3 linked regions of the Callithrix jacchus genome follow. The protein of the gene in region 2 purifies or fractionates together with the protein of the main gene of each other region. This does not show direct contact. Links are inferred from orthologs where the notes say so. Each region holds a gene or a part of one and is shown on either strand. Other genes may lie near its edges. The genes, in order: ANAPC16, ANAPC7 and ANAPC2.

The links.
Region 1: the proteins of ANAPC7 (region 2) and ANAPC16 purify together in Homo sapiens (affinity purification with mass spectrometry; 6 studies listed by BioGRID and IntAct, with this or other methods). This does not show direct contact. The link is inferred for Callithrix jacchus from reciprocal best matches to the Homo sapiens genes ANAPC7 and ANAPC16.
Region 3: the proteins of ANAPC7 (region 2) and ANAPC2 fractionate together in Homo sapiens (co-fractionation; 6 studies listed by BioGRID and IntAct, with this or other methods). This does not show direct contact. The link is inferred for Callithrix jacchus from reciprocal best matches to the Homo sapiens genes ANAPC7 and ANAPC2.

Annotation. Positions count from the first base shown.
Region 1 is NC_133513.1:57,940,480-57,950,202, forward strand, and holds part of ANAPC16 (anaphase-promoting complex subunit 16), read right to left. Parts: intron 9,050-9,723; exon of another isoform or gene 9,044-9,049; 5' UTR 8,920-9,043; intron 7,820-8,919; exon of another isoform or gene 7,697-7,819; intron 4,675-7,696; exon of another isoform or gene 4,652-4,674; 5' UTR 4,625-4,651; coding exon 4,483-4,624; exon of another isoform or gene 4,445-4,482; intron 1-4,444. UniProt on the Homo sapiens protein: Component of the anaphase promoting complex/cyclosome (APC/C), a cell cycle-regulated E3 ubiquitin ligase that controls progression through mitosis and the G1 phase of the cell cycle.
Region 2 is NC_133510.1:113,301,292-113,311,114, reverse strand, and holds the start of ANAPC7 (anaphase-promoting complex subunit 7), read left to right. Parts: upstream 1-4,613; 5' UTR 4,614-4,697; coding exon of another isoform or gene 4,698-4,798; 5' UTR 4,799-5,538; coding exon 5,539-5,693; intron 5,694-8,647; exon of another isoform or gene 8,648-8,672; coding exon 8,673-8,859; intron 8,860-9,631; coding exon 9,632-9,751; intron 9,752-9,823. UniProt on the Homo sapiens protein: Component of the anaphase promoting complex/cyclosome (APC/C), a cell cycle-regulated E3 ubiquitin ligase that controls progression through mitosis and the G1 phase of the cell cycle.
Region 3 is NC_133502.1:185,587,129-185,596,851, forward strand, and holds part of ANAPC2 (anaphase-promoting complex subunit 2), read right to left. Parts: intron 9,599-9,723; coding exon 9,424-9,598; intron 9,023-9,423; coding exon 8,903-9,022; intron 8,424-8,902; coding exon 8,306-8,423; intron 7,329-8,305; coding exon 7,147-7,328; intron 6,399-7,146; coding exon 6,257-6,398; intron 6,015-6,256; coding exon 5,939-6,014; intron 5,875-5,938; coding exon 5,671-5,874; intron 3,001-5,670; exon of another isoform or gene 945-3,000; coding exon 815-944; exon of another isoform or gene 582-814; coding exon 346-581; exon of another isoform or gene 228-345; coding exon 15-227; 3' UTR 1-14. UniProt on the Homo sapiens protein: Together with the RING-H2 protein ANAPC11, constitutes the catalytic component of the anaphase promoting complex/cyclosome (APC/C), a cell cycle-regulated E3 ubiquitin ligase that controls progression through mitosis and the G1 phase of the cell cycle.

The sequences.
Region 1 (9,723 bases), on a different chromosome or scaffold from region 2:
AAACTCCGTCTCGAGGAAAAAAAGATGGTAACAAATACATTAAAAAAATTACCTCACAGTAGGAAATTAGACAATGCAGACAATTTATGCTTCAGTGGCTTACAATGTCACAAAAATATGGCCACTAGTGGGCTGGGAGGCAGTCTCTAACTTGCTCACTAATAACGGGGTGAAGACAATTTTGGCCAAGGGCAGGAGAATGCTGAAAACTGCTATATACTGCTTATGTGAGATGTTCGTTATCAGAGAGCAGATGCACAAAAAAGTTAATTCACAAGGTTAACTACAGGTAATCTGGTTTACTATCCTATACTCATGAGATATAACAACAAGTTGAACCTGTTGAGATTAAAAACAGCATCTGGCTGGGCACAGTGGCTCATGCCTGTAATCCCAGCGCTTTGGGAGGCTGAGGCAGGTGGATTAGGAGGTCAGGAGTTTGAGGTCAGCCTGGCCAACATGGTGAAACCCCGTCTCTACTAAAACTATAAAAATTAGCTCGGCATAGCAGCAGGCACCTATAATCCCAACTGCTTGGGAGGCTGAGGCAGGAGAATCGCTTGAACCCAGGCAGCAGAGGTTGCAGTGAGTCAAGATTGCACCACTGCACTCCAGCCTTGCAACAGAATGAGACTCCATCTCAAAAAAAAAAAAAAAAAAAACCAACAAAAAAAACCCAGCATCCATCCTTGATTCCTAACTACTTTTGTTCCTTACCTTACTCTTGACAGGTAACCCTTCTTGCTCTATTTTCATATTCTATTAAACTATTATTGGTCAGGTACATGTGTGTTAGATTAATTGTATAATAGAATAGTATCACCTATAAACATGGTAGCAAATCCAATATCTTCATGCACATTTAAGAGTACTCTTTTCAACTTAATATTCTTGATTTGACTAAGAATATTAAAGCAAAATAATCCAATATATAATTAAGCTTCTCTATGTTATTTTTCACATTTTTAAGTTTAAGCAGCTTTAAGATTATTGGTAAAACTTGAAATCTAAGAATCAAAACTGGGCACTGTGTATTTACACTTAATATAAATGTATCCTACAACAGAGACCCAACACATTTCTCCATGCATGAAGCATATTGAGATGGAATAAAAATGGATAGCTCTATAACGCATTAGAACATCAACATTCAGACTAATCTCAGAAGCCTTTCTTCTTCAATATCTCCCCACAATTTGGTGTATACTGACAAAGAATGCTGATAGCTTTGAGACTGTGGAGGTGCCTCCTGTATTAAATTCCTCTTATAGCTAGAACTTAAATGACTTTAATCTTAGAGCTCCATTATTGAATACTGATTCTTCTGCTGCTATAAAACTCATTAAGCAATTTAAGTGTCTTCCACTTTTGTTTTGTGGGAAACTTCCTTAATACTAGGTCTCTGCTACTACATATAAAAGAAGTCATAATATAGTTTTAGCACCAAATATGGTAAACAGGGCCCCAGTTCTTCACTACTTCCAACCAGACTCAGTGATACTAACTTGAGTATTTAGGTAACACAATTAAAAAGGCAAAGAGCAAAGTATATGTATCACTAATTACATACACTACCTGGTCATCTACTGGCTTAATTCAAAACTCTTTTAATTATTTCTGATTATTCATCACCCCCAAGGCCAATATATCTTATATCTATAGTTTATATCTTTTTTTTTTTTGAGACAAGAGGCTGGCGTGCAGTGATGTGATCATAGCTCACTGCACCTCTTCTTCCCAGGCTCAGGTGAACCTCCCACCCCATCTTCCTAAGTAACTGGGACTACAGACATATGCCACCACACCCAGATAGTTTTTGCATTTTTTTCTAGAGACAGGATTTTGTTTCAAACTCCTAGGTTCAAGCAGTCTGCCTGCCTCAGACTCTCAAAGTGCTGGGATTACAGGTGTGAATCACTGGCCTATAGTTTGTATCTTTTTCACAGATATTCCTAGTTTTAAAATATATTTGTGTAAATTTGCAATATTAAGGCCGGGCACGGTGGCTCACGCCTATAATCATAACACTTTGGGAGGCTGAGGCGGGCAGATCACTTGAGGTCAGGAGTTCGAGACAAGCCTGGGCAACACATGGAGAAATCCTGTCTCTACTAAAATTACACAAAAATTAGCTGGGTGTGGTGGCGGGCGCCTGTGATCCCAGCTACTCAGGAGGCTGAGGCAGAATTGCTTGAACCTGGGAGGCAGAGGTTGCAGTGAGCTGACATTGCACCACTGCATTCCAGCCTGGGCGACACAGTGAGACTCGTCTCAAAAAAAAAAAAAATTTGCAATACTTAAAGCAAAAAAGATCAATATATAATTAAGCACTAAAATGCTAGAATCAAGTAAATTTTGAATCTTTAATAGGCTCTTTCCCAATGCTTTTTTTTGAGATGGAGTCTCACTCTGTTGCCAGACTGGAGTGCAGTGGCACGATCTCAGCTCACTGCAACCTCTGCTTCCTGGTTTCAAGTAATTCTTCTTGAGGCAGGGTTTCACCATGTTGACCAGGATGGTCTTGATCTCTTGACCTCGCTCATGATCTGACTGTCTTGGCCTCCCAAAGTGTTGGGATTACAGCCGTGAGCCACTGTGCCCAGCCTCCCAATGCTTTTAAAAAATTTATTATTTTTTTGAGACAGTTTCATTCTGTCACCCAGGCTGGAGTGCAATGGCATGATCATAGCTCATTGTAGCCTTGAACTCCTGGCCTCAAACAATTCTCATGCCTTGGATTCCCTGCCCAAAGTGCTGAAATTACAGATTTGAGCCACCATTCCTGGTCCCAATGTTTTTCAAAATATGAAAGACTGCCTTCAAGAGAAGGCCCTGGATGCTGGTAAAAGATGCATTCTTGAGCTATACTGTAGAGTAATTCAGAAGCACTAAGGTGGGCCCAGAAATATGCATTTTATTTTTATTTTTGAGAAGGAATCTCATTCTGTCCCCTAGGCTGGCGTGCAGTGGTGGGATCTTGGCTCACTGCAACCTCCGCCTCCCAGGTTCAAGTGATTCTCCTGCCCCAGCCTCCCAAGTTGCTGGGATTACAGGCACCTGCCACCATGCCTGGCTAATTTTTGTATTTTCAGTAGAGACAGGATTTAACCATGTTTGCCAGGCTGGTCTTGAACTCCTGAGCTCAGGTGATCTACCCGTCTTGGTCTCCCAAAGTGCTGGGATTACAGGTGTTAGCCACTATACCCGGACAGAAATGTGCATTTTAAATAAGCTCTTTGGATGATTTTTATGCTCCTGTGAAGAATTATTTGTGTAGCTCTTCAAGTAACATGCTTATAGCCTGTATAGCCGGCCAGTGGTGCTGAATAAGATGGTGAAAGATTTGATGTAAATCTGGCTCTGGGGCTAAAAAAACCACATAGCATCATCCTGCGGTGGGTCAGGAGTCATGTTCACATAAAAGGGCAATACATTAGCTTTTATTTCCTCTTAGAACCTTCCTGACAGGGTGAATCTATCTGTAGATCAGTCCCACTAGAAAAATATACATCAAACCTACTACCATGGGGAGGTAGACAGGTGCCAGGATAAAGCAAACTCGAGTAGGAGGTCAAGAGAATTCCTGGTTTCAGTGCTGACTCTGCCTTTTTTTTTTTTTTTTGGAGACAGAGTCTCACCCTGTCACCCAGGCTGGAGTGCAGTGGCACGATCTCAGCACCTGGCAACTTCTACCTCCCAGATTCAAGCCATTTTCCTGCCTCAGCCTCCCTGGTAGCTGGGATTATAGGTGCGTTCTACCAAGCCCAGCTAATTTTTATATTTTCAGTAGAGATGGGGTTTTACCTTGTTGGCCAGGCTGGTCTCCAACTACTGGCCTCAAGTGATCTGTCTGCCTCGGCCTCCCAAAGTGCTGAGATAACATGTGTAAGCCACCGTGCCCAGCCCTGACTCTGCCTTTAACATGGTCAAATCACTTAACTTTTCTGGATCTAAATAACTCTAGATGACTTCCTTGATTTCCAAAGTCCTTTTCAGCTCAAAAATTCTGATTCCAGAGCAAGATTTGTTTTTGTTTTTTTTTGAGACGGAGTTTCGCTGTTGTTACCCAGAGTGGAGTGCAATGGCACATTCTCGGCTCACTGCAACCTCCGCCTCCTGGGTTCAAGCAATTCTCCTGCCTCAGCCTCCCAAGTAGCTGGGACTACAAGTGTGCACCACCATGCCCAACTAATTTTTGTATTTTTAGTAGAGACGGGGTTTCACCTTGTTGACCAGGATGGTCTCGATCTCTTGACCTCGTGATCCACCCGCCTTGGCCTCCCAAAGTGCTGGGATTACAGGCGTGAGCCACCGCGCCTGGCCGCAATATTTGTTTTTAAAGATATTTTGAGATGGGGACAAGAGATAAAATATGGGGCTGAAATCAGGACAAACTAATCTTTAATCCACTTAATAGCTTCTTTACAATTAATATTCATTGCAGGTCTGAATCCAATTATTCGGAAAGCAGCATGAGATCACCTTCTAACATTTCTCCAGCTCCTTTGGGGTAGGTGAAAAGGGCTTTCCGTGGTGGGGCAAGGTCTGAGACACTGAAACCAGATCCAGTGACAGAACTTCCACTGACACCACCAGCTGAGGAGGAGGAGGATGAAGCAGCCATTTCCTCTCTAGTAGAATTCTTACTTCACTACAGAGAAAAAACAGCAATTGGTAAGTTTATGGAAGTGAGAGTGACATTTCATTTTAGCTGCCATAAGGGCCAGCATACAGTTTTGTTAAGAGTTAGCTCCGCTTTTTTCTACCCTCTCTACTTTCACAATCTTTTATTGATGTCTCAGGCCAAAATGTCAGGTTTTGAACTGAAAATACGCTTAAGAATAGTATGTACACTTAAAACACAAATTCCTACCATTAGCAAACAGTTTATGTCAACTGAGATCAACTGTGGGTGATTTATGAGTTATGAAGAGGTGGTATGGCAGCAATAAAGCAGAAATTTGACAGAAAAAATAAGTTATATGAGGATAAAACCACCACACTTCACAGGACAGTTTGTTTTGGATTCATCCTGATCAAGCCACATCAAGAAATTCACCTATAATATTTTCCAAATAAAATTTAAGAATAACACTGTGTTCTGTTCCCAAGGAAGGGGAACTAGTTAGGAAATATATCTTGGCCTTCTCATTAAAAATTAATCTTTTGGCCAGGCGCAGTGGCTCACGCCTGTAATCTCGCACTTTGGGAGGCAGAGGTGGACAGATCATCTGAGGTCAGGGGTTCGAAACCACCCTTGCCAACATGGCAAAACTCTGTCTCTTACTAAAAATACCAAAAAAAAAAAAAACCCAAAAAACCCCCCAAAATTAGCTGGCCGTGGTGGCAGGCACCTGTAATCTCAGCTACTTGGGAGGCTGAGGCAAGAGAATGGCTAGAACCCGGGAGGCAGAGGTTGCAGTGAGCCAACATCGTGCCACTGCACTCCAGCCTAGGTGACAGAGCAGGACTCGATCTCAAAAAAAAAAAAAAAAAAAAATTAACCTTTTCATCCAAATGTAATACCCAAATTTATCACTTGGTGGCGTCCCAAAACTGGAACAAAAAAAAGTTCAGAAAATGATCTTGGAAATCAAAGTCTAGTATGAACAGAGCAGCTGTATTTAATCGTATTTCACATAAAAAATTCAAATGTTAACAAGAAAACTGTACTGAATACATGACACCTTACGAAAGTTCAAAACAAAACACTCCCTTTACCACAGAAGCTTACAGGACTTTAACAATAGATTCTAAAAAGTGTTTACAGTATTTTCTTTCCTTTTTTTTTGAGACGGGGTCTTGCTCTTGTCCACGCTGGAATGCAGTGGCATGATCTTGGCTCACTGCAACCTCTGCCTCCTGGGTTCAAATGATTCTCCTGCCTCAGCCTCCTGAGTAGCTGGAATTACAGGCAGGAGCCACCATGTCCAGCTAATTTTTGTATTTTTAGTAGAGATACGTTTCACCATGTTGGCCAGGCTGGTCTCTAATGCCTGACTTCAAGTCCTCCGCCCACCCTGGTCTCCCAAAGTGCTGAGATTACAAGCATAAGCCACTGTGCCCCGTCTCTTTCTTTTTTTAATTAGAGATGAGGTCTTGCTATGTTGCCTACTTTGGTCTTTAACTTCTGGTTTCAAGTGATCCTCCCACCTTGGCTTCCCAAAGTCTCACTGTGCTGAGCCCTCAAAAAAGTGTATATAGTGGCCGGGTGTGTATATAGATCACCTGGGATCAGGAGTTCAAGACCAGCATGACAACATGGGGAAACCCTGTCTCCACTAAAAATACAAAAATAAGCTGGGCGTGGTGGCACATGTCTGTAATCCCAGGTACTCAGGAGGCTGAGGCAGAAGAACTGCTTCAACCTGGAAGGCAGAGGTTGCAGTGAGCCGTGATCGTGCCATTGCACTCCAGCCTGGGCAACAAGAGTGAAACTTCATCTTAAAAAAAAAAAGTGTATATAGTATTTTTTAAAGAAAAAATGGCTGGGTGTTGTGGCTCACACCTGTAATCCCAGCACTTTGGGAGGCTCAGGCGGACAGTCACCTGAGGTTGGGGGGTTCAAGACCAGCCTGGCCAACATGGTAAAACCCTGTCTCTACTAAAAATACAAAAATTAGCCAGGTGTGGTGGCAGGTGCCTGTAATCCCAGCTACTCAGGAGACTGAGGCAGGAAGGGCGATAGAGCCAGACTCCATTTAAAAAAAAAAAGAAAAAGAAAAAATGGTCTAGTGCCATGGTGTCTAATGGAACTCTCTGCCATGATGGAAAGATTCCAGTGTTCTATTTCTGCACTGCACAACATGGTAGCCACTAGCTTCATGTCGCACCTATAAGCTGGTGTGGCTGAAGAAGTGTATTTCTGTATTTTAAATTTTATTTAATGTTAACTAAAATTTAAGTTACCACATGTGGCTACTGGCTGCTGTAATGGATAAAGTTCTAGTATTTATATTAAAAATAACTTTATATTGAATTGTATACTTTAAGATGGCTAATAGTTAATTTTATGTTATGCAAATTTTAGCCTACTTAAAAAAACTATTTCAAAAAGGATTGTAGGCCGGGCATGGTGGTTTAGGCCTGTAATCCCAGCATTTTGGGAAGCTGGGATGGGCGGATTATCTGAGATCAGGAGTTAGAGACCAGCCTGGCCAACATTGAGAAACCCCATCTCTACTAAAAATACAAAAATTACCTGGGTGTGGTGGCAGACAACTGTAATCACAGCTACTAGGAAGGCTAAGGCAGAAGAATCACTTGAACCTGGGAGGTGGAGGTTGCAGTGAGCTGAGATTGTGCCAAAAACGGGGACTGTAAAATGAATATCCCTCTGAAATGGTCAGAGAGAATTTTAGCTGAGTTTTTTTTTTTTTTTGCTAGTCAAGTGAAGCAGTGGGAGTGAAAAAGGAACAAAGATATCTGTAGCGGGTTGTGATCAGTTAGTGTAACAACACTGCACCCAGACCAGCCTGAATACTTTTCATTAGCGCTTTTTTTGTTAGTTGGACATGAACATATTTATTATAAAAAGTTGAGGCTGGGCACAGTGGCTCATGCCTATAATCCCAGCACTTTGGGAGGCTGAGGCAGGTAGATCACGAGGTCAAGAGATCGAGACCATCCTGGTCAACAAGGTGAAACCCCGTCTCTACTAAAAATACAAACATTAGTTGGGCATGGTGGTGCGCACCTGTAGTCCCAGCTACTTGGGAAGCTGAGGCAGGAGAACTGCTTGAACCCAGGAGGCGGAGGTTGCGGTGAGCCGAGATCGTGCCATTGCACTCCAGTCTGGGTAACAACAGTGAAACTCCATCTCAAAGAAAAAAAAAAAGTTGAAATATATTTATTTTTTCTAGGGAGGTTCTCACTCTCTCACCCAGGCTGAAGTCCAGTGGCCTGATCATTGCTCATTGCAGTCTCAACCTCCTAGGCTCAAGCAATATTCCAACCTCTCAACCTCCCAAGTAGCTGGGACCACAGGGGCATGCCACTATGCCCAGTTAATTATTTTTTTTTTTTTTTTTACTTTTGGTGGAGACAACTTCTTACCATGTTGTCCCCAGGCTTGTCGGGAACTCTTGGGCTCAAGCAATCCTCCCATCTTGGCCACCCAAGGTATCGGGATTATAGGTGTGAGCTACCATGCCTGTCTGAAACTTTTCTTTTCTTTTTTTTTTTTTGAGACGGAGTTTCACTTTTGTTGCCCAGGCTGGAGCGAAATGGTGCCATGTTAGCTCATTTAACTTCTGCCTTCTGGGTTCAAGTGATTCTCCTGCCTCAGTCTCCCGAGTAGCTGGGATTACAGGCATGCGCCACCATGTCTGGCGAATTTTGTATTTTTAGTAGAGACGGGGTTTCCCCATGTTGGCCAGGCTGGTCTTGAACTCCCAACCTCAGGTGATCTGTCCACCTCAGCCTCCCGAAGTGCTGGGATTACAGGCATGAGCCACTGCACCTGGTCATGTTTTTTGATAACAGAAAAGAGTGAGGGAATAAAATACAAATATATATATATATATATATATATATATATATATATATATATAAAATCCAGTTTTCTAGTAATGAAAATGATATAGTATGTCTTGAAACATTGGCTGTTTTGTTTGCTTAATTTTGTGATGATGATTTAAAGCTGTTAGAGAAGCAGAGCTTGGTTTCTGATTTCATTACAAGTAACACTGATTAATAGTGAAGTGGGATATGGGAACAGTAAAGCAACTACTATAACTAGACTGTCAGCAAAAATGCAAATTGAAGCCAGGCGCAGTGGCTCACGCCTGTAATCCCAGCACTTTGGGAGGCCGAGGAGGGCGGATCACGAGGTCAAGAGATGGAGACCATCCTGGCCAACGTGGTGAAACCTTGTCTCTACTAAAAATACAAAAATTAGCTGGGTGTGGTGGCACATACCTGTAGTCCCAGCTACTCAGGAGGCTGAGGCAGGAGGATTGCTTGAACCTGGGAGGTGGAGGTTGCAGTGAGCTGAGACCGTGCCATTGCACTCCAGCCTAGTGCCTGGTGACAGAGCAAGACTCTGTGTCTCAAAAAAAAAAAGCAAATTGATTAATGATGTTTTCTTTTTTCGAAGACAGAGTCTTGCTCTATTTCCCAGGCTGGAATGCAGTGGCATGATCTTGGCTAACTGTAGCCTTGACCTCCTGAGTGCAAATTATCCTCTTTCTTCAGCCTCCCAAATAGCTGGGACTACAGGTGTGTGCCATCACACCCCATTAATTTTATTTTTTGTAGAAATGAAGTTTCACTACATTCTTCAGGCTGGTCTCCAATTCCTGGGCTCAAGAGATCCTCTGCCTCAGCCTCCCTAAAATGCTGGGATTACAGGCCTGAGCCACTCTGCTCAGCAGACATTTTCAATCTTGTTATTAGATTACATTTCCTTTATTCTCTGAGCTCTGCTAACTTTCCAAATTGTATTCATATCCACAGAGGCAACAATTTTTGGAGTCAGATTCATATCCAATCTTCTGGACTGCAGTGGGTCAAAATATAGCCTGACAAGTTTTTCAACTGTTTTTGAACTTAAGCAGTGATGGATCAGGTCCAAATCTTCATGTGAATTCCTGGTGGGATTCAAATAAAGCATACAGATAACTTAGCCACCTTTTGGAGAGTAGCTCAGTCTTTATTTCTCATCAGTTCAGAGTGGAACCCACTGTGAACTCTTTATATATCTCACCTAAGATTTAAAACTCT
Region 2 (9,823 bases):
AATTTCTGCTCCACTTTGCTGCGGGGGGCTGTTCTGTACATTACAGAATTTTTAGCAGCATCCCTAGTATCTATCTACCGATACCAGAAGCAACCCCCACCCCACCACATATGTCTGCAGATATTGCCAAATGTCCCCTAGGAACACAGTCATCACCCTGCCTCCACCACAGGCTGAGAACTTTCTCTGCAGCAAAAAGAATTATCATTTGGGCAAAGTGCCTCATGCCTGTAATCCCAACACCGTGGGAGGCCGAGGCAGGTGGATCACCTGAGGTCAGGCATTCAAGACCAGCCTGGCTAACATGGTGAAACCCATTTTGACTAAAAATACAAAAATTAGTGGGGCACAGTGGTGTACGCCTGTAATCCCAGCTACCGGGGAGGCTGAGGTGGGAGAATCGCTTGCACCCGGGAGGCGGAGGTTTCAGTGAGCCAAGATCGTGCCACTGCACTCCAGCCTGGGCGACAGAGCAAGACTCCATCTTAAAAAAGGCTGGGCGTGGTGGCTCATGCCTGTAATCTCGCACTTTGGGAGGCTGAGGCAGGCAGATCATGAGGTCAGCACGTTGAGACCATCCTGGCTAACACGGTGAAACCCTGTCTCTACTAAAAATACAAAAAATTAGCTGAGTGTGGTGGCATGCGCCTGTAGTCCCAGCTACTAGGGAGGCTGAGAAAGGATAATCGCTTGAACCCAGGAGGTGGAGGTTGCAGTGAGCTGAGATCACGCCGTTGCACTCCAGCTCCAGCTTGGGTGACAGAGTGAGACTCTGTCTCAAAAAAAAAAAAAAACAAAAAAAACAGAATTATCTATCTGCACTGTCTCACATTTGTCTCCTCCCACCTTCTCTTTACCAAACCGCCACTGAAAATGTTCTTGTCAAGATCCTCAATGACTTCCATTTTGCTAAATGCTATGGCTATTTCTCCATAGGAAGATGAATTTGTTTGTTTTGTTTACTGCTAAATCTCCATGGTCTAGAACAATTTGTGGCACACAGTAGGTGCAAAATAGACATGTTGAATGAATGTACAGTGAAGATGGAAGGAGAGTAAGGGGGAGAGAAGAGTCCAATTAACAATGAATATGCCATAATTGTGATTTATTCCGTTTATATAGTGCTTCATGATTTATAAACCATTTTATATATAATATGTCAAACCTTTTAATTAAATGAGCTATGACATAAGGTCATTGATTCATTCACCACACCCGGCCATAGATGTTTATATTTTAACAGTTTTATTGAGATATCATTTATTTTTTTGTCTTATCTTTATAAAAAAACTAATTCATGGCCAGGCGCAGTGGCTCACACTTATAATCCCAGCACTTTGGGAGGCCAAGGCGGGTGGATCACGAGGTCAAGAGATCGAGACCATCCTGGTCAACAAGGTGAAACCCTGTCTCTACTAAAAATACAAAAATTAGCTGGGCATGGTGGTGCCCACCTGTAGTCCCAGATACTGGGGAGGCTGAGGCAGGAGAATTGCTTGGACCCAGGAGGCAGAGGTTGTGGTGAGCCGAGATCATGCCATTGCACTCCAGTCTGGGTAAAAAAGAGACTGAGACTCCATCTCAAAAAAAAAAATTTTTAATTTATTTCGGCTGGGGGTGGTGGTTCACTCCTAAAATCCCAGCACTTTGGGAGGCTGAGGCAGGCAAATCACTTAAGGTCAGGAGTTCGAGACCAGCCTGGCCAACATGGTGAAACCCCATCTCTACTAAAAATACAAAAATTAGCTGGGCATGGTGGTGGGTGCCTATAATTCCAGCTACTCAGGAGCCTGAGGTGGGAGGGTTGCTTGAACCCGGGAGGAGGAGGTTGCAGTGAGCCAAGATAGCACCACTGCACTCCAGCCTGAGTGACAGAGCAAGACTCCATCTGAACAAAAAAAAAATAAATTTATTTATTGCAAAATTATACTTCTACCAAAGTAGAAGTATATTTTATGTAAAATCAACTTCCCCTATTTTATGCATACAATTCAATGATATTTAGCTGCCAATTTACAAAGTAATGCATTGATCATTACAATCCAGTTTTCAAACATTTCCATCACCTCCACAAAGACCCCTCCTATCCAATTGTAGACCCTCCCATTTCCATCCTTTACCCTGAGCAACAATTGATCTACTTTCTGTCTCTATCAGTTTGTCTTTTCCGGAAAGTTCATACAAATAGAGTCAGATTATGTAAACTTTTCTAGTCTGGCTTCTTTCGCCTAGCATAATTTTATTTTTAGCATATATTTGAGATTCATTCATGTTGTTTGTTTTTTTTAAAATGGTGTTCATTGTATGAATATGCCACATTTTGTTTATCTGTTCATCAATGAACATTTGAATTGTTTCCATTTTTGTGAACATAGATATGGTTTTAGAAAAAAAGTGTAATAGCAAACATTTGTACAGTGCTGCAAGGGAGCCAGAGATCACATCCAACCCCTCTTTTAGCTCTTAGTGGGTTCTTGAGCTGGATCTAGAAAACAAACTGACACCAGAAAGATTAACAAGAGAAAAGTGTACAAATTTTGTTCGTTTCACATGTACGGGGTGGCGGGGGGAGGTGCTACACAAGAATCTGAAATCTGAAGAAGTGGCCAAATGTGGGCGCGGTGGCAATCCCAGCACTTCCGGAGGCTCAGGTGGACGGATCACCTCAGGTCAGCCCACTGCTTCTTCCACGGAGGAATTCCAGACCCTAAATGAATTTAATACCAGTCTGGCCAATATGGTGAAACCCCATCTCTACTAAAAATGCAAAAATTAGCCAGGCTTGATGGCACATGCCTGTAATCTCAGCTACTCAGGAGGCTGAGGCAAGAGAATCTCTTGAACTTGAATCAGGGAGGCGAAAGTTGCAGTGAGCCAAAATCGCGTCACTGATCTCCAGCCTGGGTGATTGAGCGGGACTCCATCTTAAAAAAAAAAAAAAAAGTTTGGCCAGGCACGGTGGCTCACCCTGTAATCCCAGCACCTTGAGAGGCTGAGGCGGGCGGATCACCTGAGGTAGGGAGTTGGAGACCAGCCTGACCAACATGGAGAAACCTCTTCTCTACAAAAAATACAAAATTAGCTGCGGGTGGGGGCGCATGCCTGTAATCCCAGCTACTAGAGAGGCTGAGGCAGGAGTATCGCTGGAACCCGGGAGGCAGAGGTTGCGTTGAGCCAAGATTGGTCCATTGCAGTCTAGCCTTAGCAGCAAGAGCGAACCTCTGTCGCAAAAAAAAAAGTAAAAAAAATGATGCAGCTGGGCGCGGTGGCTCACGCCTGTGATCCCAGCACTTTGGGAGGCCGAGGCGGGCGGATCACAAGGTCAAAAGATCGAGACCATCTTGGTCAACATGGTGAAACCCCGTCTCTACTAAAAAAGATACAAGAATCAGCTGGTGCTCGCGCCTGCAGTCCCAGCTACTCAGGAGGCTGAGGCAGGAAAATTGCTTGAACCCAGGAGGCGGAGGTTGCAATGAGCCGAGATTGTGCCACTGCACTCCAGCCTGGCGCCTGGTGACAGAGAAGGCTCTGTCTCAAAAAAAAAAGATGTCCACCAAAAGCAAATTGAAGGTTACATCCAGGAAACGAGAGTAGGGGATGAGATGGGAAAAGGATCTGCAGAGCTTCGACTGTGACAAAATGTAAGAACTGAAAAAGTTGACTGGTGAAGATACACTGTGATTTTTTTTTATAGCATTTCTTTGCATGTTACTGTAAAAATCAAACGAAAACAAAATATAGACCAAAACGCCTGTCTCCTTCAAGAAAGGAGCAACAGGCTATATCTGAGAGGGTGATTGTGCAGAATATTCGGACTCTGCTTCATTCGCTGTTACCTCCTTGGTCCCTGTATACACTTGATTTTGCGATGCAACATATTTAACCACTCGATGGGATTCCAAGTCAACCATTTAACAACCTGAGCACAACATTTAAGCAGGCGGTTTCTTGCCCTGTGAGAAGGGAATGACAACTTCGACTTTATGGATTGGCTTGTGAACATCCAATAACTCGTGTAAAACTTCTGTAAAACGTTAACTGTGCTAGGCACATGCTGGTTTATAGGGGTATCAGCTCATTCCTGGATCCAGCCTTTATTTCCACGGATCTAGGGAGTCATTTCATAGGGTAAAATATGCCCCTCGAAACAAGGAGTTCACCCTAGGCGACAAGCCTGATTGTGACACAAAACATCTGAGGAGGGGCGCGGCGGCCCCTGCCTGGTGCGCATGCGCAACTGTAAAAGCCGTTAGGTCTGTCCCTGGCGCCCGATTAGAATATTTCATTCCAGTTGCAGCGTTTTTTTCCTCACCATTAATATATTTCTGGTACATGCCCACAGATTTTAATGTCTGAGAGGCACAAATTCCTCTCAGACGCATTCAAATTGACCGAGTAGTCTTATAAGGTTCCTTTTGCCTCATTGTAAATCCGCAGTAAAGTTTGCAGTTTAGGATGTGACGTAGTTTTTACGTAAAACTCACAACTCATTCCACCTGAAAGGAACCACGACGGGAGTAGAAATTCGAGTTTCTTTTTATACGGGCACTTCAGTAGTTACCTCTTACTTGGGGGAGGTGCCGCGTGTGGACCCGATGGACCCCGACGCCGCCGCCATTTTGGAGTTTTCCCTAAGGATCCTCTACCGGCTTTTCTAGTCACAGTTGCCGCCGCTGCCCGCGGCCTTGCAGGGCAGGATGAATGTGATAGACCACGTGCGGGACATGGCGGCCGCGGGGCTGCACTCGAACGTGCGGCTCCTCAGCAGCTTGTTACTTACAATGAGTAATAACAACCCGTGAGTTGAGGCGGGGAGCGGCCTGGGGCTGAGGAGAAAGCGGCGGCGGTCTGGGAGCGCGGGCTGAGGGCGCGTGGGAACAGGCGGGAAGGAGCGGCCGCCGGCGCCAGCGGAGGCTCCGGGGTCAGCGAAGGGCCTCGTGGAGCGGAGCGGACTTCGGAGCGCAAGTTGAGTTCATTGGGTGCCGGCGTTTTTGCAGGGCCCCGGCGTCAGCTCTCCGCGGGGATGTTGGCGAGCGGCGGCTTTGAGAAATGGAGGGCGGAGGCTCTGAGGACGACCCTGGCGAGGGTTTCCCGAGGCACCTGTCGCGGGGCAGCGCGACTGTCAAATCGCTAGGCTGAATCCTCCCTTCTTGGCTCCTTCCCGAAGAACTTTTTTTCTCGTTGCAACTCAGGGACCCAGCCTCCTGGTTTTGATGTCCTGGCCCCGCGTCTGATATTGGTACCCCCCGTTAAGTGTGTCAGGAGGATCTACTTTCTCGCCCTGGGAAACCCCTGAAAACGGGGCCTGGTGCGGTGGCTCACGCCTCTAATCCCAGTACTTTAGGAGGCCGAGGCGAGAGGATCGCTTGAGCCCAGGAGTTCAAGACCAGCCTGGGCAGCATAGGGAGACCCTGCCTCTACGAAAAACAAAAATTAAACAATTAGCCGGTGTGGTGCGCGTCTGCGGTCCCAGCCATTCGGGAGTCTGAGGCAGGAGGAGCGCTAGAGCCCAGGTAGTCGAGGCTGCAGTGAACTGTGATGGCATCACTGCTCCCTAGCGTGGGAAACACAACGACAGCCTGTCTTAATAAAAGGAAACAGGGCTGGGCGCGGGGGCTCACTCCTGTAATCCCAGCACTTTTGGAGGCCGAGAATCATGAGCTCAGGAATTCGAGACCAGCCTGGCCAACATGGTGAAAACCGTCTCTACTAAAAAAATACAAAAATTAGTCAGGTGTGGTGGGCGGGCGCCTGTAATCCCACCTACTCGGGAGTCTGACGCAGGAGAATCGCTTTAACCCAGGAGGCGGTTTGCAGTGAGCCAAGATAGTGCCACTGCACTCCAGCCTGGGGACAAGAGCAAGATTTGTGTCAAAAGTAAAATAAGAAACAAAGTGACGGGAGACTCCTTTGATGGGTGGGCGTGGCACCTTTTCGTATCCATGAAGCATGGGGCTGATTCCAGCCTCTGCATGTCCATCCTCTGCTTAAAATCCTTTGTTACACACATGAAAATTCTTTCCCGTGACCTCTGAAGGCAAACATCTGCCCTCCGCTCTCTGCAACTTCATCTCATTACTCTGTTCACTGTTCTTCAGCCTCCCTGGCTATTCTATTTTGTTTTTATTTATTTTTAGTTTTTTAGACAGATTTTCATCTCTCGCCCAGGTTGGAGTGCAGTGAGGCGATCTCAGCTTACTGCAGCCTCTGCCTCCCGGGTTCAAGTGATTCTCCTGCCTCAGCCTCCCGAGTAGCTGAAACTACAGGCCAGCGCCACCTTGCCCAGCTCGTTTTGTTAATTTTAGTAGAGACGGGGTTTCTCCATGTTGGTAAGGCTGGTCTCAAACTCCTGACCTCAAGTGATCCGCCCACTTCAGCCTCCCAAAGTACTTGGATTACAGGCGTGAGCCACCTAGCCTGGCCTCATTAGTGTGTTTTGTACCTCATTAGTGAGACCCATCATTTTGCCAACATCCACTTCATGTTGACAGGAGCCCTGGTCTAGGTCAGCCTTCTGTGTTTATCCCGGAGTCTTTCTCTTGGTTCTGAGTGATTTGTCAAACCATACAGTTTCCATGTTACTCTTAGTAGGCCCCAGTTACTCTTAGTTCTCAAAGATGTTACAGGATAGTTTGAAACAGTTTAATTTTCTGGCTAGACCAAGTTTAGCCCATGCTTTTTCATACTAGGTTAGATGGGCAGTTTCCTAGTTTCAGGACATGTTTAAGTTCTGACCTTCATAATTTATACTTTAAAATTTCTTGTGGAATAGTCAGTAGACACTTAAATTCAAACAGTGGAGAAGGGGCATGCAGATCAGAATCTTTCCCTGAGTCTTGAACCTCACCCCACCATTTCTCCAGAGGCAATAACTTTTTTTCTTTTTTTTGAGGCAGAGTCTCGCTGTGTCACCAGGCGCCAGGCTGGAATGCAGTGGCACAGTCTCACTGCAACCTCCACCTCCCAGGTTGAAGCAGTTTTCCTGCCTCAGCCTCCCGAGTAGCTGGGACTACAGGCGTGCACCACCACGCCCAGCTAAGTTTTGTATTTTTTAGTAGAGACAGGGTTTCACCGTGGTCTTGATCTCTTGACCTTCTGATTCACCTGCCTCAGCCTCCCAAAGTGCTGGGATTACAGATATGCGCCACCATGTCCAGCCGGTGCCTGTATTTTTTTTAAGAGGTGGGATTTCACTATGTTGACCAGACTTTAGGCTCAAGCAATCTTCACACCTCAGTGTCCTGAAGTGTTAGGATTACAGGTGTGAGCCACTGTGCCTAGCTTGTGGAGAAATTAACTATCTACAGAATTATTTGACTCACTTTGTTCTTTCATTATAAGCAGCTATAGTTTTTACTTGTCAAAGAAAAACAGTAAACTTCAGCCAGCTGTGATGGCTCACACCTATAATCCCAGCACTTTGGGAGGCCGAAGCAGGTGGATCATGAGGTCAAGAGAAATTAGCCAAACCTGGTGGCACACACCTATATTCGCAGCTACTTGGGAGACTGAGGCAGGGGAATTGCTTCAACCCCGAGGGCAGAGGTTGTAGTGAGCCAAGATCATGCCACAGCACCCTAGCCTGGCAACAGAATAAGACTCCGTCTCAAAAAAAAAAAAAAGAAAAACAGCAAACTACTTTCTTTTATTTGGGAAGGAATGAGATTGGAATTGAAAATATGAGTTCCACATTAGAAATAGTGACCAACTTCTAGTCACTTATAATTCTTTTTTTTTTTGGAGACGGAGTTTCGCTCGTTACCCAGGCTGGAGTGCAATGGCGCGATCTCGGCTCACCACAACCTCCGCCTCCTGGGTTCAGGCAATTCTCCTGCCTCAGCCTCCTGAGTAGCTGGGATTACAGGCAGGCGCCACCATGCCCAGCTAATTTTTTGTATTTTTAGTAGAGATGGGGTTTCACCATGTTGACCAGGATGGTCTTGATCTGTTGACCTCGTGATCCACCCGCCTCGGCCTCCCAAAGTGCTGGGATTACAGGCTTGAGCCACCGCGCCCGGCTCACTTACAATTCTTGACTAAATACTCAAGTTTTAAAACATTTGTTCAGGCTGGGCATGGTGGCTCATGCCTGTAATCCTAACACTTAGGGAGGCCGAGATGGGCAGATTGCCTGAGCTCAGGAGTTCGAGACCAGCCTGGCCAACATGGCAAAACCCTGTCTCTACTTAAAAAAGCCGGGCGTGGTGGTACATGCCTGTAATCTCAGCTACTCAGGAGATGAGGCAGGAGAACAGCTTGAACTTGTGGGGTGGGGGTTGCAGTGAGCCAAGATTGTGCCACTACACTCCAGTCTGGGTGACAGAATAAGACTCCGTTTCAAAAAAAAACGGCAGCGGCCTTGGATTGAAGGGGAAGAAAAGATGTATTACATTTTCTCTATGTACCTCCTACTGCATTTGATTCATAGGTATCATTGCTTTTATGTTAAGTAAAGAAAAATTGTATTGAACAATAGATATGTTTATCATATTAGCACAGAGTTCAGCTTCCACCTTTCATGCCTCTTTAGGGACTAGCACTTGACGTACATTGACTCTTTTGTAAACTGTCATTATACAAGGCTTTGTGCTAGGCTTATGTAGACACTAACAGTGTTCCTTCTAAAATTTCAAAATAACCCATGTAGGGGATATACTTTCTTTGTTTTCTAGTGAGTTATTCTCCCCATCTCAGAAGTACCAGCTTTTGGTGTATCATGCAGATTCTCTCTTTCATGATAAGGAATATCGGAATGCTGTGAGTAAGTATACCATGGCTTTACAGCAGAAAAAAGCCCTAAGTAAAACTTCAAAAGTGAGACCTTCAACTGGAAATTCTGCATCTACTCCACAGAGTCAGGTAATTGAAGATAGGATTGTGTGATTTTTTTTTTTTTTTTTTTTTTTTTTTTTTTTTTTTGAGAACGTCTCAGAATTTAGAATGGGGTCCCTAGGCCCCAGTGTCTGGTTTCTTAGGAACCAGGCTGCACAGCAGGAGGTGGGTGAAGGGTTAGCAAGTATTACTGCCTGAGCTCTGCCTCCTGTCAGATCAGCTGTGGCATTAGATTCTCATAGGAACACAAACCCTATTGTAAACTAGGCATGCAAAGATCTAGCTTTTGTGTTCCATATGATAATCTGACTAATGCCTGATGATCTGAGGTGGAACAGTTTCATCCTGAAACCATCCCCTCTCCCCCCATCTGTGGAAAAATTGTCTTCCTGTTGCCGAAAAGGTTGGGGACCACTGATTTAGACGATAGCCGTTTAGATGTAGAAGATGAGACCAGGCACAGTGGCTCACACCTGTGGTCTGAGGTGGGAAGACTTGAGGTCAGGAGTTTGAGACTAGCCTCAGCATTTTGAGACCCCTGTCTCTACAAAGTTGGGCGTGTTGGCACACACCTGTAGTTGTCCAGCTACTCAGGAGGCCAAGGTGGGAGGATCGCTTGAGACTAGGAGGTCAAGGCTGTGGTAAATTATGTTTACACCATTGCACTGCAGCCTAGGCAACAGCGAGACCCTGTCTCAAAAAACAGTTGCTGGGCCATATGATAACTATATTTAATGTTTTGAAGAACTGTCATACTATTGGAATAATGTTTCAAAAAGATGTTTTCATTGTCTCTTAGTGTCTTCCATCTGAAATTGAAGTGAAATACAAAATGGCAGAATGCTATACAATGCTAAAACAAGATAAAGATGCCATTGCTATACTTGATGGGATCCCTTCAAGACAAAGAACTCCCAAAGTAAGTTGAATGTTTATGTGTTTTTATCCTCAGCCCTCCTAACCCTGTTCGCTCCGTGTTTTCTCAAATTCA
Region 3 (9,723 bases), on a different chromosome or scaffold from region 2:
GGTGGGCAGGCGCGTCAGCCGCAGTTCTTGGGCAGGCGGTAGACGCCGGCCGAGTAGACGAGCTGCTGGTCCCGCACCTTCTTCTGCAGGTAGCCCTGCAGCTCCTGCAGGTCGATCTCAGCCAGCGCAGGCCCGGTCACCACAAACATGCGCAGCATGTTGTAGATGCGTTCCAGCGAGAGGCTCTCCAGGTTGGTCAGCATGGCCTGGATGTAGGTCCAGAAGAGCTGCACACACCGGCCAGCCCCCGTCAGGTGCCCACTGGGGCTGCTGCTAGGCACAAGCAGGCCTTCACCCCACCCCGCCGCACCCCCACCACCCCACCCATGGGCCCCGCACGCGCACCAGCAGCTCCTCCTCCTTCTGGTCTGCCTGGGAGGCCATGCCCGAGTCGCTCTCGTCATCACTGTCGATGAGGACCATGCTGTCCCGGTCCTGAGGCCGCTCCTCCTCGATGACAGAGAAGGTGCCAGGGGGCTCCTCTCGCAGCACACCCTGCTGTAGCCACACAGACATCCTCCGCCGCAGCAGTGCCACGGGCATCTTCACCGCCTTGCTCAGCTCCTCAAGGGTCCAGCTGGCTGCATGAAGAGTGACCAAGACCCTGGGCAGCCTGCAGATGGGCTGCCCCTCCCCTGCCTCCTGTCAGCCCAGAGGTCGGAGGCCCAGACCCCCCCCACCTTGCCCGTGGGAAAAGTAAGGGTGCTGCCTGCTGGCTTGGCTGCCCCAAACCACACCCTCACTGGGGAGCAACCCCTCACCCATGGCAGGGCCGTGGGGCCAGAGCAGACCAGCTGGGGGCCGGTGGACTCACCTTGGTCCTGAAAGTACAGCAGAACCACCGCCTGTACCGGGGTGACTGCCACAGACAGTGTACGGTCAGCCAGCTCCACGTCCATGGTCACCAGGCCCAGAGTGTGCTTCCAGCTGAGGGTCCGCATGGCCTAAGGAGGGCTGGGGTCAGTGTGGGTGGCTCGGCTGCAGGGGGCCGAGGCTCATGGGCTCTGCCATGTGGAACCGGGTGACGAAGGGCTCTCAGAGCTGCCTGCCCCACCCTGCCCCCGGCAGACAGGTGAGCAGCGGGAGCACAGGACTGGGTGGGCCCCACCTGCTCAGCTACCACAAAACAGCAACGGGGCCAGTGTCACAAGATGTGTCCCGGAAAAGCTTTTTGTGCATCCTAACCCCCCCGTGCTTGGAAACGTGGCTGCACTGGCAAACAGTGGACAAGGTCACACTGGCGTGGGTGCAGCCTAATCCAACTGACTGGCGTCCTTTTTTTTTTTTTTTTTTTTTTTTTGAGACGGAGTTTCGATCGTTACCCAGGCTGGAGTGCAATGGCGCGATCTCGGCTCACCGCGACCTCCGCCTCCTGGGTTCAGGCAATTCTCCTGCCTCAGCCTCCTGAGTAGCTGGGGTTACAAGCATGCGCCACCATGCCCAGCTAATTTTTTGTATTTTTAGTAGAGATGGGGTTTCACCATGTTGACCAGGATGGTCTCAATTTCTTGACCTCGTGATCCACCCACCTCGGCCTCCCAAAGTGCTGGGATTACAGCCTTGAACCACCATGCCCGGCTTGACTGGAGTCCTTCTAAGGAAAGGATGGATGACGGAAGACACGGGCGGCGGGAGGGGTCACATGAGGACAGAGGCCGACGAGCCACGCGGCCACAAGCCAGAAAACACCAAGGGCTGTGGCAAAAGCCAGAAGCTGGAGGGCAACAATCTCTTAAGAGGTTTCTGGGGGAGTAGGGCCCTGCCAATACCTTAATCTTGACTTCCAGCCTCCAGAACCAAGGCAGTTTATTTCTGTTTTTTTAAAGCCACCCAGTTTGTGACACTTTGCTACAGCAGCCACAAGAAATAAACAGATTTTGCTACCAGGAAGGGCGCTGCTGAAACGTGACACCAGGAATGGACCCCCTAACAGGTGCTTCTAGTAAGGTCTAGGGCAGAGTGAGCGCGCTGCTGTGGCCGGAGGAGGCAGCAGAGAGCCTGGCGGGCTGGTGCTCTGCTGCTGGATGGAAAGTGGGGCTGCAGTTGATGAGCCTGAAGGCTCAGCTGAGATTTACAGGCAGCGTGGAAGGTGAGGCCTGGCTTCTCCTTGCCACTTAATAGCAGAATGCAAGAGGGAAAAATCAGTGAGGACGGAAACATTAAGCAAAAAGGCACCAGCCCTTGGAGATTTGAAAAATGCTCTGATGATCCAGGCAGCTCTGAGACACAGCTAAAGCTGTGGCTGGACCAGGATTTGCAAGAGATGAGGTGTGATTTGCACATCCAACCGTCTCAGCAGGAGACGGGCAGGTGGGGCTCCAGGTAAGGGCCGCAGGGGGCCTGGACACTGGTGAACTGCACAAGAGAGAAACCAACGAGGTTTGTGAGAACTTTACCAGCAGAAATGCTGCCAGGCTGGACTGAGAGGCAGGCAGGCTCCAAGAGCAGAGCCGCCGACGCAGAGGCCAAGGCTGACGGGGTGGGGCTGACCCCGCAGGCCAAGGGTGGAGCACTGAGCCCAGGATTCGCAGGCCGTGGCATCAAATTGAATTTGGCTGCTGGGTTTGGACTTGGGGTGACCTGCCACCCTGTTTCCTTCCAGTTTTCCCTATTGGGGTGGGAAGAGACATTCTATGCTTGTCTTACCGTTGAATTTTTGAAAGAGAGCATCTGCTGCCTGATTTCACAGCATCCAAGCTGGAAAGGAACGGACACACCCCAAGTCTCACCTGGACCTCATTTAGTTGCTATTTACATGCTGAGATGTGGGACTTCGTGTGGATGGTATTTAGATGAGATTTTGGACTTGGACTTGAGGCTGAAATGGTGAGGACTTTTGGGAATACTGGGTATAATTGTAACTTGCATGTGGGAGGGCCCACCATGGGGCAGATTGTTGTTATGTGCCCCTCCAAAAAAGACACATGAACTGCTAACTCCCTGAACCCCGGATGTGATCTTATTTGAAAATATGGTCATTAAAGATATAATTAAGATGAAGTCACCCTGGAGTAGAGTGAGTGTCCAAGAGGGGGATACAAACAGAACAGGGGAACACTCCGGGCGACGCAGCAGAGACTGGACCGAGCCATCCACAAGCCCCGGAGCTCCTGCAGCCCCCAGAGAGCTGGTAGAGGCAAGGAAGCAGCCTTCCCCTAGGGCCTCCAGAGGGCCCTGCTCACCCTGACCTCTATAAGATGATACATTTCTGGTCTTTTAAGCCCCTTGGTTTGTGGCACTTTGTTCTGGTGGCACCAGGGCACTGACACGCCTGCTCTGTGGGCCACAGGCTCCTAAGCCCTTCCAGGATCTGGCAACTCTTTTTTTTTTTTTGAGACGGAGTTTCGCTCTTGTTACCCAGGCTGGAGTGCAATGGTGCGATCTTGGCTCACTGCAACCTCCGCCTCCTGGGTTCAGGCAATTCTCCTGCCTCAGCCTCTCAAGTAGCTGGGATTACAGGCACGCGCCACCATGCCCAGCTAATTTTTTGTATTTTTAGTAGAGACGGGGTTTCACCATGTTGACCAGGATTGTCTCGATCTCTTGACCTCGTGATCCACCCGCCTTGGCCTCCCAAAGTGCTGGGATTACAGGCGTGAGCCACCCCGCCAGGCCAATCTGGCAGCTCTTAAAGGAAACGAACCCCACTTTACGGACAGAAGATAGAGGTGGAGTCAGTGGTTGGCCTTGGTCCTGGCTCTGGCTCCAGGGCCGTGACCTCCACGAACACCACTCATCAGCCTGCACCAGAATGGAAGAAGGGCTCAGGAGCAACAAGCTCAGGTGCAGATGCTGAGGGCTGCATGCCAGCCATGTGCCCAGTGAGCTCAGGTGCAGATGCTGAGGGCTACATGCCAGCACATGCCCAGCAAAGTGCCTAAGGTACAGATGCAAAGGGCTGCATGCCAGCCATGTGCCCAGCGAGGCCCCTAGGCCAGGAGCTCTGCTAGTGGGACCTCTCAGCACAGCCCGGCACCTTCCTGAGCCATCCTGTATCCCGTGAAGTGAAGACAAAGGGCACTGGAGTATGGCTGCCCCAGGACGTCAGGCCCGAGGAATGGGAAGTGGCTGAGCCACACTTGGGATCCCAGGGGGACCCTGGAGGGAGGCCAGGGGAGCCTCGCCCAGAAACAGCACTGGAGAGCCTGAGGCAGCCAGAGGGTCAGTGGGAGAGGGACTGTGCATGGAGCCCGGCCACACCAATGACTTGTACCAGAACATGGCAGGGCGGGGGGCAGGGGGCGGGGGAGGCTCGGTGCCCGCAGACTCTGGAGACACAGGCTGGAGCTGGAGGTGGGGGGATGGCCAGGGCCCTCCTTTCCACCGGGGCAGGCAAGCTGCGGGGGATACCTGGACTCTTCCAGAGCCAAGCTGAGGCCTGGAGGGAGGCAGCAGGCACTCGCCACCAAGATCAGCAGCCTGGCCCAACCTCCGCCTCCTGCCCCGGGTGCCTCTACCTGGCCCTCCCCTTGTCTGTCTCTGCAACTTCCCCCTTAGTTTCTAAAGTGGACTCATCACCTTGCCCTCCCCTAGGAATAAGCTTCCTTAGTCTGTCAACACAGCAAGGCCCTCTCACTTGGCAGATAAAAAAAGGAAACACATCTAGACCCAGCGTCTGTCACAGCAGGCCTGGAGAAGCTGGGGACCCTCCTTTGAACTCAGCCCCACCTGCCGGCCTTGGCCCAGGCTGCGGCTGGCCCATCTCCCTCCTGGGGTTGGGGTCTGCAGCCTGGAAACCAGCTTTGCCCCAGGACCCTCTCCTCACGTGTCCCCTGCTGGGGTGCTCAGCTCCCCCCAGGCCTGAGCATTCGCTGGGCACACCGGAGGCCTCACGGGCCCCACACACCAGACTGAAAGCCCTGGGACCTGGCTGCACAGGGGTCCTAACCTCTTCCCTCGACCCAAAACATCTCACCTGAACATGAGCTCAGGGAAAAAACCTCCAAGCGTGGTCCCATACCCAGGGCCCTGGATACCTGTTCTGGGACTGCTGGGATTGGTGGTGCTGCCAGGAGACGTGAGCCAAATACGGCCGATACCACCACTCTGGGCACGCTGGCCCCACTTGCCAGCACCTCCAGGCCAGGGCTCGCTCCTCCAGTCCCCACGTCTGCTTCCCCCCGACTCCCACCACAGTCCCACAGCCCTGGTCCTCAAGCACCATGGGAACCTGCAAATGCAGTTCTCCGGGAAATATCTAGAAACAGGGGCAGGGCTGGGGCCCCAGGGTCAGGTGCGCTTGGGAGCGCTGCCCTGGGCAGAGGGTGGCCCTGGCTCCCTGGCCCTCACCTGCAGTGACACAAGGCACCCCAAGTCCTGGTTCTGAGAGGCAGAGGGCAGATGGCAGAAGAGGAGGAAATGCTCAGTGGGTGCGGCCTGCTGGAGCCACGGGAGTCCCCGTGAAGCAGCACAGGAGATGTGGGCCTAGCACAGCCCACCCGAGCACCTGTGGGGCCGAGGGACGCTGGCTCACAGGGGGCACAGGCTCACTGTGAGGAAGGCAGAGGGAGTGTGGACTGGGCCCACTCCATCTCCTGCAGGGATGGCTGTGAGACATAACCAACCCTAGACACTCGGGAGACAATGGGGTGGCCATAGGCACCAGGCTGCTGAGCCCGCAGCACAGGGTGAGGTGCAGAGAGCCCTGTGGGGTGGCTGGCTTGGAGGTACCTTGAGCTGCTCGTACTTCTTGCAGTAAGCCTCCAGGGCTGCCCTGATGTCCTCAGGGACCTCCAGCTTCTCATCCTTGAAGGGCGGCCAGAACTCACTGGACAGGATGACAGCATAGACCCCGAATGGCGGCTGCTCCTCCACCGGCCGCTTCTCGTCCTCCTCCCGGATGTTGGCATTGATGCGGCGGGAGTCCGCCATATCCTGAGGGAGGAGCTGGTGTCACGGGGGCCTGGGGGTGGCGGGCGGTGGGCGAGGCGGGACCCACCTTCAGCATGACCTCGCAGAAGTGCATCGGGGCCTCGCCAAAGCGCAGCTTCAGCAGTTCTACGTTGCGGATCTCCCTGGAGAGACGAACCAGTGTCTGGGCGGGGGTCGCAGGGGCTGCAGTCCCAAGCAGCACCTGTAGCAGTCATGGGTGCACCTCCCGGGCAGAGCAGGGGGCCTGCGTGGCACCCCGGCGGCCAGCTCAGCCCCAGCCAGGAGTGGGGGTGGCACACAGTCCAACCAGGCCCAGGCCCTGTCCTGACAGGCTCAGCAAGGGCCCCAGCACCCCTGGAGACGGCTGGCGCCTCCCTGGCCTCACCGCTCCGGGCTGAAGCTGAGCTGGTGCAGTAGGCGGTCGGCCAGCAGCGAGCGGTACTCATTGATGAACAGGTCCTTGCTGCCGTAGATGCTGACCAGCAGGCTGATAATGTCTGAGGAGCGCCGCTTGGAGCTGGACTTCCCTGGCACAGCGGGGGCAGGGGTGTCACCTGATAGGCACCTTGGCAAGGATAGGGCACCCCCCTCCCATCCCACCATGCCCGAGGCATAGCCCAGCATGGCTTTTCCTGAAGGCCCTCGAGGCTGGGAGCAGCCCGGCACCTCCCAGGAGACCAGGAGTCGCATCCTAGGGCAGCAGCTTCGATCCCCAGCCCCTCCCGTCTCACAGGGACCTCCCCGGACCCTCAAGTAGGCTTAGGGTACAAGCCACAGGTTCTGGGGTTTTCCTCTGAGGAAGACTAAAGACAGTGAAGACTTACCATCTGGGCCAGGGCTGGGGCCAGGCAGGGGTCCCACAACTCTCAGAGCTCCGCACACTGCGGCCAGGGACAGATGGGCCCTGAGCAGTAGCTGTCACCTAACGGGACTCTGAGGCCCACACCAGCAGCGGGTGCAGGGGCCATGCACGTTTTCCTTCACTCCTCTGCCAGATGTCATGGCGGGGCAGGGGACACCCCACAGCTCACAAGGGGCGGAAGGAAGGGCACCTCCCATGGCTAGAGTGACCAGCCACAGAGGGACATAGCCCACCCTGGGCCTGCCCAGGCCGGCGGGGGTGGAGCACTGCCCTGACCTTGGACCCCTTCAAGCCTCTGGGGCACTGGCCACACGTGACACAACCAAGCTATGCGGCCAGAGAGGAGCCCAGAGTGGCTGGCCTAGCCGAAGCCTCCATCCATTGGCGAAATGGATGCTGTGGGGCAAGCTAACCTGGATCAGCGTCCACGGGGTCTGGGACCCAGTCCTCAGGCTCGCCCGAGTCATCCTCACTGTCCTGGCCCGTCTCCAGGCTTGCTGGGTCAGTCTTGGACAGCTCAATGGCCAAGTCCCCCGTCCCGTCCGAGTCCCCCGTCAGCCCGGCCACGATCTGCCGCACCGTGTCCTCCCGCGTCCTGCCGGCATGAGCACTGCTGTGGCCCATGGTATGGATACCCCACATGCCCCTCCCACTGCCCACGCCAGCCCCGCCCCGTCTAGGCCAGCACCACCACCCCTGCCTCTACAGCCACCGATGACGAGCTGTGCACTAAAGACAGGCCTGTCAGACTCCCTGAAGAACGAACCCGGCGCTACAGGTTCGGGTTCGGCGCTACAGGTCCTGGGAAGCAGGAGCTGTGAGGGCAAGGCTAGCCTGTGTGCCCACAGGCCCAGCTCTGTGGCACACTGAGGCAGGACGGCTTGAGCCCAGGCAGGTGCCCAAGGCTGCAGAGTTGATTCTGCCACTGCACTCCGACACAGTGAGAGCCTGTCTCAAAAATAGGAAAAACTTTAGAAAAAGAACCAGCCCAGAAGCCAGGCCCATTACAGCCACAAAGCAGCGAACAAGTCCAGACAGGCGCCGGAGTCCCAGTGGCTCCTGCTGCTCAGGCCTGGGGCCGCGGGGCCTCTTCGACTCCCGAGGAATTTCCAGGCAGCTGTGGCAAGGCCCTCATTCCAACACATTCTCCACCGAACAGCCCGGGGAGTGCCTGCTCCTTGCCGTGGAAAAGGCTGGGACGGACAAGGAGAATGGGCAAGGAGAGCCCATTCTCCTTGCCTGGTTGGCGCGTGGGGGCCTGGTCAGCGCCAAGGCAAGGCTGAGCAGATGAGCTTCTCTCTGTGCTGAAGAAGGGGAGGCCACGGAAGGGCTGCAGGGGGGCCTCTGGTAGCTGCACACAGAGGGGACGGTGACACCATGTGACAAGGACAGGTGCCCAGCACAGGCAAGAGTAAAGGAAGGAGCCCTGGGCCTGAGCCCGTACACTCAGCCCAGCTGGGGGAGACCTTGTATCCTGAGGGCCAAGCACACCCTCCGCTGCCCCCAGGACCACCGGGAGCTCAGCAGGACACCTGGGGTCCCCGTGGCTCCTGGGCCAGCTGCAGCCCTCACCTCAGGTAGCGGCGGATGGGCTCACAGGCCACCTCCAGGATGACCATGGAGGGATCCAGCACGCGCAGCGCCTTGATGGCAGAGATGTAGAGGGTGATGATGTCACACGTGTTGACGCCTACAGCCGGGGAGATGCCGGTGGTCATGCAGTGCCTCCCAGGGGCCAACGCCTGAGTGGGCTGCTGGCCACACCGGTCAGGTTGTCTACAGATCCCTGCTGCAGCCTCCTTTCCCAGGAGACCAATATGACCGCAGAAGCTGCTCCCCTCGTCTGCCCATCCCCCCATTCCCCCATACCCCCGTCCCAGCCTCTCCCTGCTCACAGGCCCTCCCTGCTGGGTAGTGTGTTCTGAGAGAACCAGGTCTCAACACCCCAGACCACCTGGCCAGTCCCAACTCCCTTCAAAGAAACAAGCAAGCTGACGGGTACCCCAGATCCCCTAAGCACCCCACCAATAGCTTCTCAACCCATTTCTTCCTTAGACCTGTAAGTCCAGGGCTAGAGACTGGGTCCCCAGCTCCCTGGACAGGAGCCCCCTGGTAGTGTCTGAGCCCTGAGGGCCAAGCAGTGGGGCAGCAGCAGCCAGCACACAGCACCTGGATGCAGCAGCCGCGTCTCCAGGGCGGCCTTGAGGGACACGAGCAGCTGCTGCCTCTGGTCTGTCCTCTCCAGGCAGTACTTGAGGTCCTCGATGGCTGGTCGGGAGTCTGGGAAGTCTACAAGTAGAGGGACATGCCTCAGGGACAGACACGGACACGTGCACATGTGGGGGGCTCGCCAGCCCTGGGACGAGGAGACTACCCACTAGACCCAGACGTCCCCCCAACATTTTGGCGTGCTGATGCATTTGACCAGAATGCCACAGGGTGGACACAGTGACAGCCAGGGGCCAGTCCCCAGCAGGAGCCAAGGCTGAGGGACCACAGGAGTAGACACTTAGGAGCACCACCCAGTGTTTGCCGCACCTGCCCGGATCCAGACACGGGGATGCCTGCAGAGGGAAGGGTACCAGCCCTGCAAGCGCGACAGGCAAAGGTGCAGGGAACCCAGACGTGGACAGGAGAAGGGACACAGCGAAGGCCCTGGGAGGGTACCCCAGACGGGAGAGTGGGTGGACCTCGGATGATGCTGAAGAGCTCCTCGATGCGCAGGCTGGCATAGATGCGGTAGAAGAACCTCTGCACATGGCAGCGCCAGCGGCGCAGGGTGTTGCCCGCCTCGGGAGATGCGGGCCTGGAGGGGCTGTCCTGCAGGAACACCTTGCCGAGCCAGCCAACCACCCGCTCGATCCACTGTCGGGAGAACACGAGTGTGAGCTGCAGGGAGGCGTGGTGAGCCCACACTGACTCGGAGGCTGGGAGGAGCCCAAAGGGGCCGTCTTGGTCCTCCTGCGAAGCCAGAGCCCAGTGCCCACACG